Linked DNA regions of Schizosaccharomyces pombe. The protein of the gene in region 2 interacts with the protein of the main gene of each other region in a pairwise test. Each region holds a gene or a part of one and is shown on either strand. Other genes may lie near its edges.

Region 1 (5,236 bases), on a different chromosome or scaffold from region 2:
GCGTACCCTTCATACCCTTCGCACATACCCCTGGGCACTGCTTCTCTTCCCTTGAAGGGTAATTTATACCAAATTTCTCGTAGTGATGATATCAAGTCTGGAGCTCCCGTTTTAGATACCTCTTCGCTTGTAAATCCCACTTTGGCAAAGTCAGCGAGTTTGAATAACTCCTCTCTTCTCAACCCATCTTCGTCTTTACTTCGTCGTGAGGTTCCCGCCGGAAAATTAACTATGCCTGCATATCCCTACACTACCCAGTTAATGAATCATACCGCCGGAGCTGACTATGGCTTACCTCGTCTATCATCTAAACTTCCCCAGGTGTTCCCTGGTAATTACCCTCGTCTTCAGCAATCGTTGTTCCCTCGTCAAGGGGAATTGCGCTTCAATTAGTCCTTCGTTAAAAAATACTGACGTTAGACATAAGTGCCCTTCGCTTTATATGTCTTTGTATATATTCACATTTGTCGTCATGGTTGTTATTGTGTTTGTGAATTAATACGTATTCGCTTCATTTTTTAATGTCCTTTGTTATCGAATCATTCTTTGTTCGCTAATGTTGTTTATCGTTTTTCCTATTATACTTAAGTGTAATGTTTTTGGGAATATAGTACTACTTGTGCCATATTCCTTTCCATTCTTTGAAATTATTTCCTTAACGCAAACGCTCTTTGCCAATTAATTAATATTGAAAACTTTTTCGCCGCTTTGTGTTTTTCATTTGAATGGTTTGGATATCGTCTACAACTAAGTAGTGCATACCACCCATGCATTGCCAGTAATTGGTTATTTCATCTACCCTTTGATGGTTTTATATTTCTAATATGTATAAGCTGATTTCTTAATTCTGCCATACGTTTAACCATGAAGGAATTTATTTACTACTTATTTCATATCTTTCGGGCGCGAACGTGACCACGCAAATGCACGGAAGATTTTTGTTTTTATTTTTTATTCTGTTATTTTATAAACTTTATTGGGTTTTGTTTTCACTTATTGTTTTCTAATTCTAATATGTTTATGCATTCATCAAACATTAAGCATGAACGTTGTGGTCTAAACCATTCTCTTTTCAGAAGATGCCACAACTTCTATTATGGAAAATCTAAAAAAAAAGAATTATGATGATGTTTACGGGTTAGAAAAAGATTTCTTCATTTTTTTGGATTGGTGAATTTTGAGTAAAATCAACTATATCTTAGCTAATGATTGTCTTCGCCAATTTCAATCATGAAGTCAGAGTCTTTTTATTACCATGCCTTTATTTTCTTTTGGAGTCCTATTTTTGTTTGTATAATTATTACTGTACCGTTGATTGAATTTATATCCAGGGAGATTATTCGGGTTATGTTAAGTTTATTGGAACGTTCATTTAACGCACTCTTTAAGCTTCCGAATGCTTGAGTTTTTTAATTTGCCATAGAAAAAAGTTTTAATTTTAAAAAAAAAAAAGCTTTACAATAAAAATAATTATTTTGTTTCTCATATACGTACCTTTTCAACCTAACCTTAAATAACAATTCGATTCGACACAATATCAATAAACAAATGTTTTATGTGATAGCAATCCTTGTAATTAATGATTACTGACATAGAAATGCAGTATATGTTTATTCTGTTGGAACAAGTGAAGTGACCTAAGTTAGAATGGGATCTACTCCTATGTTTCCTTTTCTGGAGTTAGCTGTAGCAAAAAACACACGATATTCTAAATGCACAAATAGTTAACCAAATTCCTAAGACAAAAAAAAACGTTCTAGCATTATATAGTTTATTCACGAATTCAGTTTTAGTGATTTGGATATTTATTCGTTTTTTCATACGGTACTATAGTGTTTCAATATCGATTCTCAAATTAAAATAAAGAACTCGTAATAGAAACAATCATTGTTAACTAAATGTTAATTCCAAAAACTTTTTACATTTGATATTCAGTTATTTGTAATTAAGAACACATTTAGGACAGCCGAACGTAGTACAGTATTTATGAAACAGGGCTTGACAAAAACCAAAAATTAAATTTTGTTCCATACTAGGAATTTAATGTCTGTGGCTATTAAGTTCACTGTTAAAATAAACGATGGCTCTTTAAGAAGGCAGCAAACTCGACACGTATTCTTAAGTCCTGCTGCTTTGAATCGTCTTAAGCTTTCTCCGTCACAAGTAATTTATTTGAAACATAAAGGCGGTGAAGCTGTTGGAATAACCCAATCAGTTAAGGGAAATGGAATAGGTCCATTTGAAATATTAATTAGTCCTTTATTGGCGAAATGGGCAAACTTGAAGGCCTTCCAGCGAGTTAACATTTCACAATATGTACACCCTTTAAAAGAAGCTGAAGGAATCAAAATTGTTGCTTCATTGAGTAGCAATAATGAACCTATACCAGAGTCCTTAATAAGGAAAGAATTGCTAGAAATAAGGTATCTTCATCCAGGCATGATTGTTATGGGTGAATCACCGATGAATATGGCAAAGAGTGGTAGCAAAAATCTCAGCTCAGAGAATATGGCTACGGAAATTTTTGAAATAAATTCAGGTTTATCTGCGCAATCGGGTACTGAAGTAGGGTCCTCTCAATCTTCTCCCTCCGTGAATGAATCTGAACCAAAAGCAACAGAAGATCTCGATGAGCTTTCTCCCGGCTCTTATAAAGTTAAAGAAATTCACATTCGTTCTCCTTCAAACCTTATAGAAGCAATTTCTGATATGTCTTTAGATGAGCCTCGTATTTACAAATTTACGGCAGCTTCCAGTATGGAAATTGAAACACCTGATTTATTAAAATTACCTCATGAAGACAGAACTCAGTCTGCATACAACCAAGGAAGTGAAGAGACTCAAAACTTCGACGGTCCTCCTTCTGCAGTAACATTTTCGTCGATTGGTGGTTTACAAGCCCAAATCGCCCAAATTCGTGACATTGTAGAACTTCCGTTTCAAAATCCCGAACTTTTTAAGTTTTTTAATATTATGCCTCCTCGGGGTGTTCTGTTATATGGTCCTCCAGGTACTGGCAAAACGATGGTTATGCGGGCTGTTGCTGCAGAAGCAAATGCACAAGTGTTTACGATCGATGGTCCTTCTGTGGTCGGAAAGTACCTTGGAGAAACTGAGTCTAGGCTTCGAAAAATATTTGAAGACGCACGGGCGCATCAACCTTCAATCATTTTTATAGACGAAATTGACGCACTGGCTCCCAAACGAACGGAGGACGTAAGTGAAGCGGAGAGTAGAGCTGTTGCTACTTTGTTGACTCTATTAGATGGAATGGCTAATGCCGGAAAAGTTGTTGTTATTGCTGCTACAAACCGACCTAACTCTATTGATGAAGCACTTCGACGACCCGGACGTTTAGAGAAAGAAATCGAAATCGGTATTCCTGATAAAAGCGCCCGATTAGATATCATTAAACTGTTGTTATCAGGTGTTCCTAATGAAATTAATGATGCTCAATTGGAAGATCTAGCCTCACGAACGCACGCTTATGTTGGTGCAGACCTAGCAGCTGTTGTTCGTGAGGCTGCTTTAAGAGCTATAAAAAGGACAATTTCACTACAAAAGGACACTTCGGGATTAGACATTTTCGGTGCGGTGCAGATGGACGATTTGGAGTTTGCTTTATCGTCTGTCCGACAAAGTGCTATGAGAGAGTTTATGATGGAATCGCCCAATGTACATTGGTCAGATATTGGAGGACAAGAAGAGGTGAAACAGAAACTAAAAGAATCAGTAGAATGGCCTTTAACTCATGGCGAAACCTTCTCACGATTGGGTGTTCGACCTCCGAAAGGCGTACTTCTTTACGGGCCTCCTGGTTGTTCAAAAACAATCACGGCCAAAGCCATCGCAACAGAGACTGGATTGAATTTTATTGCTGTCAAAGGACCAGAACTATTTGATAAGTTCGTTGGTGAAAGTGAACGAGCCGTTAGGCAAGTTTTTCAAAAAGCAAGACAAGCCAGTCCATCAGTTATATTTTTTGATGAAATAGATGCTTTGACTGCGAATCGAGGAGAAGACAATAGTAGCGACCGGGTAGTTGCAGCTTTACTGAATGAATTAGATGGGATTGAAGCGCTTAGGAATGTACTTGTGCTTGCTGCTACAAACCGCCCTGATATGATTGATCCGGCACTTATGCGACCAGGTCGCTTGGATCGCTTGCTTTACGTTGGACCACCAAATTTTGAAGCAAGAAAGCAAATTGTGAAGATACAAGCTGAAAAAATGAAGTTTGCAGAGGATGTAGACTTGGATTTGATTGCGGAAAAAACGGAAGGATGCTCAGGAGCGGAAGTCGTGGCTCTTTGTCAGGAAGCTGGTCTGATAGCTATGCACGAGGATTTGGAAGCGAAAGAAATATGTCAAGCTCACTTTAAAACAGCATTATTGGCATTGCGGAAAGCCATAACCCGAGATATGCTTGAGTATTATGCATCGTTTTCAGAAAGTGTTACTAGCATTTCCTGAGAAAAAATATTATTGATATTAGGGGTTTCATTGTTTATTAATATAATACTTTTTTTCTGTGGTTTTAGTGTATTGTAGATGACATGTGTGGTTAATAAACTTCGAGTGTTTACAAAGCTAGAAATGTTACAAGTGATTGCAGAACGAAATTCACAATACATTATACATTATGCTCAATTTACTTCTACTGCACATTATCAGCATTACAAAAAATAGACCATTTCACTAAAAAAATATTGAGAGATGTAAAAAGTCATAAAACTCGTCAATTTATTTTTAAAGAGAAACATTGATATGTACTAACGTAACATGGAAGCGACAAATAGTCCACAGAAAGTGACATCGGCGATACAGTGCAGAAAAGTTAACGATATACATACGTTTTGCCTTTCTTTTGTTAGAAAAAAAGGAGAGGCACGGCCTCGTCTTAGTCGTCTCCCATGATTATCCGCTGCAGACATCTACTTCAAAAAACCCTTCAACTTGGTGATAATTTCATCTTGTGAGGAGGATGAGTTTTCAATTTCACCGAGAGTTTCCAAAACACGACCACCACTTGCACTGTTGATCTTGTTCAAAATAGCAAGTTTCTCGCTGGTGCTACCAGGAAACATATCGCTGATTTTCTTCATGGTCTGAGCCTGTTTCACTTGCTTTTCTGCACCCAAAGCAGAGCTCAAAAAGTCATTAGACTTTTCGCCTCCCTCCTTGTTGCTACCACCACTCAAGTTGTTCATAAAGTTCTGCATAACGGAAGTTGGAA
Region 2 (4,060 bases):
TTTCGCTGGAAGCGTATATTTGATGCCACCATGAACAAAATACTTTTTTACTTTTTTTTCTTTTTGACACTAATTCTTTCCGCTACTGTTTATCTTTTTGGAGGTCCAATGATGCTGTTCTTTATTAATTATAAGACAGACCTTCTTAAAGTTGATGACGTTTATAATCATGAAATTTATTCAAACCAGTCTGCTGCTATTCCTAAAATTATACATCAGACTTGGAAAACCAACGAAATTCCGGAAAAATGGGTTGGTGCCCAGAAAAGTTGCATTGATCTACATCCTGATTATGAATATGTATTGTGGACTGATGAATCCATGAGGGAGTTTATTGCTACTGATTATCCTTGGTTTTTGACTCAATATGATTCTTATCCTTACAATATTGAACGGGCTGATGTCGTTCGATACTTTATTCTTTACAAATACGGTGGAATATATTTGGATTTGGATGTTGGTTGTAATCGAACCCTTGATCCCTTATTGCATTATCCAGCATGGGTGAGGAGAACTTCCCCAAGTGGGATTAGCAATAATGTAATGGGATTTGCTAAAGGGCATCCATTTCTTTTACAGGTGGTCAGAAACCTACCTAGATTCGCGTTTAATTACCACTTCCCTTACCTAACCGTAATGTATTCGACTGGTCCATTGTTCTTGTCGATAATATGGAGTGCTTGGCGGAAGCTTCCAGATGCCGAAGCTTGGCATCATATTTGGGTGATGGTTCCCGAATTGTATGAAAAGAGCCACCATGCATTTTTTGAAATTTATGAAGGTTCATCATGGCACGATAGTGACGCTGGATTTGTATTCTATATGTTGCATCACTGGGCCATTTTTACATTTCTTGGTTTTTTGACGTTTTTCATTGTTGTATATTTTATATTTGGCTATGCTTTGAAGCCTGCCGCTCGTGTCTCCCGCACTGGTCGACGGGTATTTTCATCTCCGTTTTCTAAGACATCTCCGTCCCGTTGGAAGATTTTCCATCGTTTCACTTCTTCCAATGAAAAGTATGACCAAACTCGTTCTGATTCTTTACCTTTCATGTCTGATTATGATTTGGAATCGCAAACTCAAAGTCACAGTCCCTAAAATTACTCGGCATTTGCTACTACAAAGGCTTCATTTGCTTTGAAGTTTTGACCTGTCTATCTTTTCATTTTCATAGAATTATCATAAATCCTTGTATTTCATTTAGTTTCGTTCTAGTTTTCTAATATAGTCTATTAAAAGCAAGTAATTTCACAATTGTCTACCGTGATCGGAAAGGGATATATACCATGAAATGACTCAAGTCCAAATCTATAAAAATAGAAATGCTAAAGATATTTTCGGAACTACTCATTTCAACTTACTTTTTGTTTGATGGATTTTCAGCTAAATTCTAAATTATACTAAAACAATAAATTATTCAACATAAAAACGGTGTTGCTTAAGTCCATCTGTATGGTGAGACAAAGATAGACAAAATACCATCATCGTCATTGTTTATGCGACGCATCTAGTTTTTTATTTGTTTTTATTATTTGTTTTGTTTTATTTAATGCACAATTACTATACCGAAGAAAACATTGTGTTGTACCGTAAGTTGGATACCGAATTAGTCATGCGCCTTTCGAGGCGGCATAGCATTAACTGTATTCGTTTGCAGCACCATTTGACCGTTTACTGTGTGCAATTTACTTGTTCTACTAAATTGGCTTCATAATTTATAACATATTTTTCTGATAACAGCGAAAACTATCATTTTTTCGATTGCTTTTCATTTACAGCTAAATTCTGGTTGATTATTAAAAGTGTTTCTTTTCGGAATTAAAGTGTGCAATTCAGTTAAGAGTTCTGTTTGCTGTCCTTCCTTAGCTTTCAACAGTTTGTTTGTTTTTGAGGCCTTTGTTTTCGTTTTTGTCTCTTGTTGCTTCCAAACTTTAATACATAAACACAACAACCCCATATACTTTCGTATTTTGTTAGCAATAGATTTGAAACTTACCTTATCTTCAATTTACTAGAAGGAAGGCATATTTCTTTGAACTTTTTCTTGGATAACATCAAATTGGTATACGGAAGACAATTTTCAAAAGCTTTTAACATTAATTTATTTGTTTTTTGTAACTTTCTATCCTCCATTCAATTGTTTTAATAAAGCTTTTCTTTCCAAAAAATGACAAAATCTGTTGAGGGATACCTCAAAGAACAGGAACTTGCCGCTGAGACTGATTCTGAAAAGGACGACGATAAAATATCAATTCGTTTAACTAACTTTGTCGGTCCCAATGCACATTCTTTCTCTTTTGATCCGTTAGTTCGCTACTGGAACCGCAAGCAAAATAATCTACCCATTTACATAGGAAGATACACAGAGCGATACAACGGCGGTGATGTTTCTGCTATTGTCTTCCGTTCCAAAGTTGTGAGTAGAAGGCATGCACAAATATTTTATGAAAACAATACTTGGTACATTCAAGATATGGGTTCTAGTTCTGGTACATTTTTGAACCATGTTCGTTTATCACCGCCGTCAAAAACGAGTAAGCCTTATCCCATCTCGAACAACGACATATTACAACTTGGGGCGGATTATAGAGGAGGTCATGAAGTCAACTATCGTTGTGTTCGTGCCCGAGTTGAGCTAAACAACTCTTGGAAAATTAAGCTTAGTCCTTACAACCTTAACGAATTCAAAAGAATGCAAGAACTGGTGTTATGCGGATCTTCTGAATCGGGTCCTCCGGAATGTTGTATATGTCTTATGCCTGTTTTACCTTGTCAAGCATTGTTCGTTGCACCTTGTTCTCACTCTTATCACTATAAATGCATACGCCCAACCCTAAACGAAAGTCACCCATACTTCAGTTGCTTTATATGTAGAAAATATCATGATTTGGAGGCTCCTGTTGAAGAAGGTGACGAAAGTCTAAATGACCTTCTACGAAATGCAACGGTAAAAGACGATGCATCTGAGTAAACTGTTATTTTCAGTATGGTTACTAATTGTCTTTTACGTCCTCAAGTTCTTCCTTTAATGACCATCGTAACATAATGATCATATTATATTTAGTCTTTATGAGCATGGCAGAAGATTATGGGAACACAGGCTCTTTGACATTTGCTGTTGCCTGATGATTGAATTAAACAAGCATGCCTCCCTAACTTTATTTATCAACACTCATAATGATTAAATATTTTATTGATGAGAAAACCAAGTGCTACTTGGTCTCTTTTATTCATTACTGCATTAATATAATTATCCTAAATGGATATATAATCTTAACTTCTGTCGTCCTTCACACCTGATCTCTACATACTCTCACATTTTTTTATTTTTTTTGAAACATTGGCATCACAAATGAATGTACTAATAATCAGCAGTAATAGAGATCCGAATCTGAAAGAATTGTGGTTGTTCTTCTGAGAGTCCATTTATTATCTCCTTCAGCATCATTAAATGTTATAACTTTTAATTCACTTCTTATGCAACCTAATGTGATTGCTGGTAAAATTCCCGAGAGTACAATTCTTAATTGTAATAAGTATGTTCAGTATATGCAATTTAGAAGTAATCAATAACAAAACTTTTTCAAACTTTTAAGTAGCTAATTATCTTCATTTGCGCCCATCCATGGTTTTACTATTCAGCAATTTTTCTTCATCCTCATGCTCTATTTGTTCAATCCCTATTTGTTCAAGAGAATTATAAATAACTTCCCTCAAATCTTGATCAGATAAAACATTGCTTCGGATGTGTTCCATGCTATCTTCATACAATGAAGATCTTATGGGTTAGACTGAGTTTCCAAAAAGAAAAGAAAAAAAACCATTATTAAGTCGTAAGCTTACCTATCTACGGCACCTGCAATTAAAGGAGCAGCCCTAAACTGGTCTTTACTTTTGAGTGTGCGATCTTTCACCATTTCTTCATCAATGATTTTTTTCAGCCGATCTAATAAAGGCCCTGATTCCTGAGGCGATGTTAGTATGGCAAAAGAGTGAGTGACATTGGTATCATTATGATAGTTAAAAAAAATAGTGATAGTTTAATTTTTGAGGAAAC

What was found. The genes of interacting proteins can lie anywhere in the genome.
Region 1: the proteins of dma1 (region 2) and SPOM_SPBC56F2.07C interact in a two-hybrid assay, tested with the Schizosaccharomyces pombe proteins (2 studies listed by BioGRID).

The regions. Positions count from the first base shown.
Region 1 is NC_003423.3:4,098,538-4,103,773, forward strand, and holds SPOM_SPBC56F2.07C (ribosome biogenesis factor recycling AAA family ATPase), read left to right. Parts: upstream 1-2,000; 5' UTR 2,001-2,043; coding exon 2,044-4,473; 3' UTR 4,474-4,687; downstream 4,688-5,236. Other genes in the region: puf1 (RNA-binding protein), read left to right, coding at 1-393; protein tam13, read right to left, coding at 4,935-5,222. UniProt on the Schizosaccharomyces pombe protein: ATP-dependent chaperone which uses the energy provided by ATP hydrolysis to generate mechanical force to disassemble protein complexes.
Region 2 is NC_003424.3:2,357,484-2,361,543, reverse strand, and holds dma1 (mitotic spindle checkpoint ubiquitin ligase Dma1), read left to right. Parts: upstream 1-1,672; 5' UTR 1,673-2,170; coding exon 2,171-2,974; 3' UTR 2,975-3,516; downstream 3,517-4,060. Other genes in the region: mannosyltransferase Imt3, read left to right, coding at 31-1,101; Set1C complex subunit Shg1, read right to left, coding at 3,613-3,781, 3,847-3,968. UniProt on the Schizosaccharomyces pombe protein: Probable E3 ubiquitin-protein ligase which is a component of the spindle assembly checkpoint, required to prevent septum formation and premature exit from mitosis if spindle function is compromised.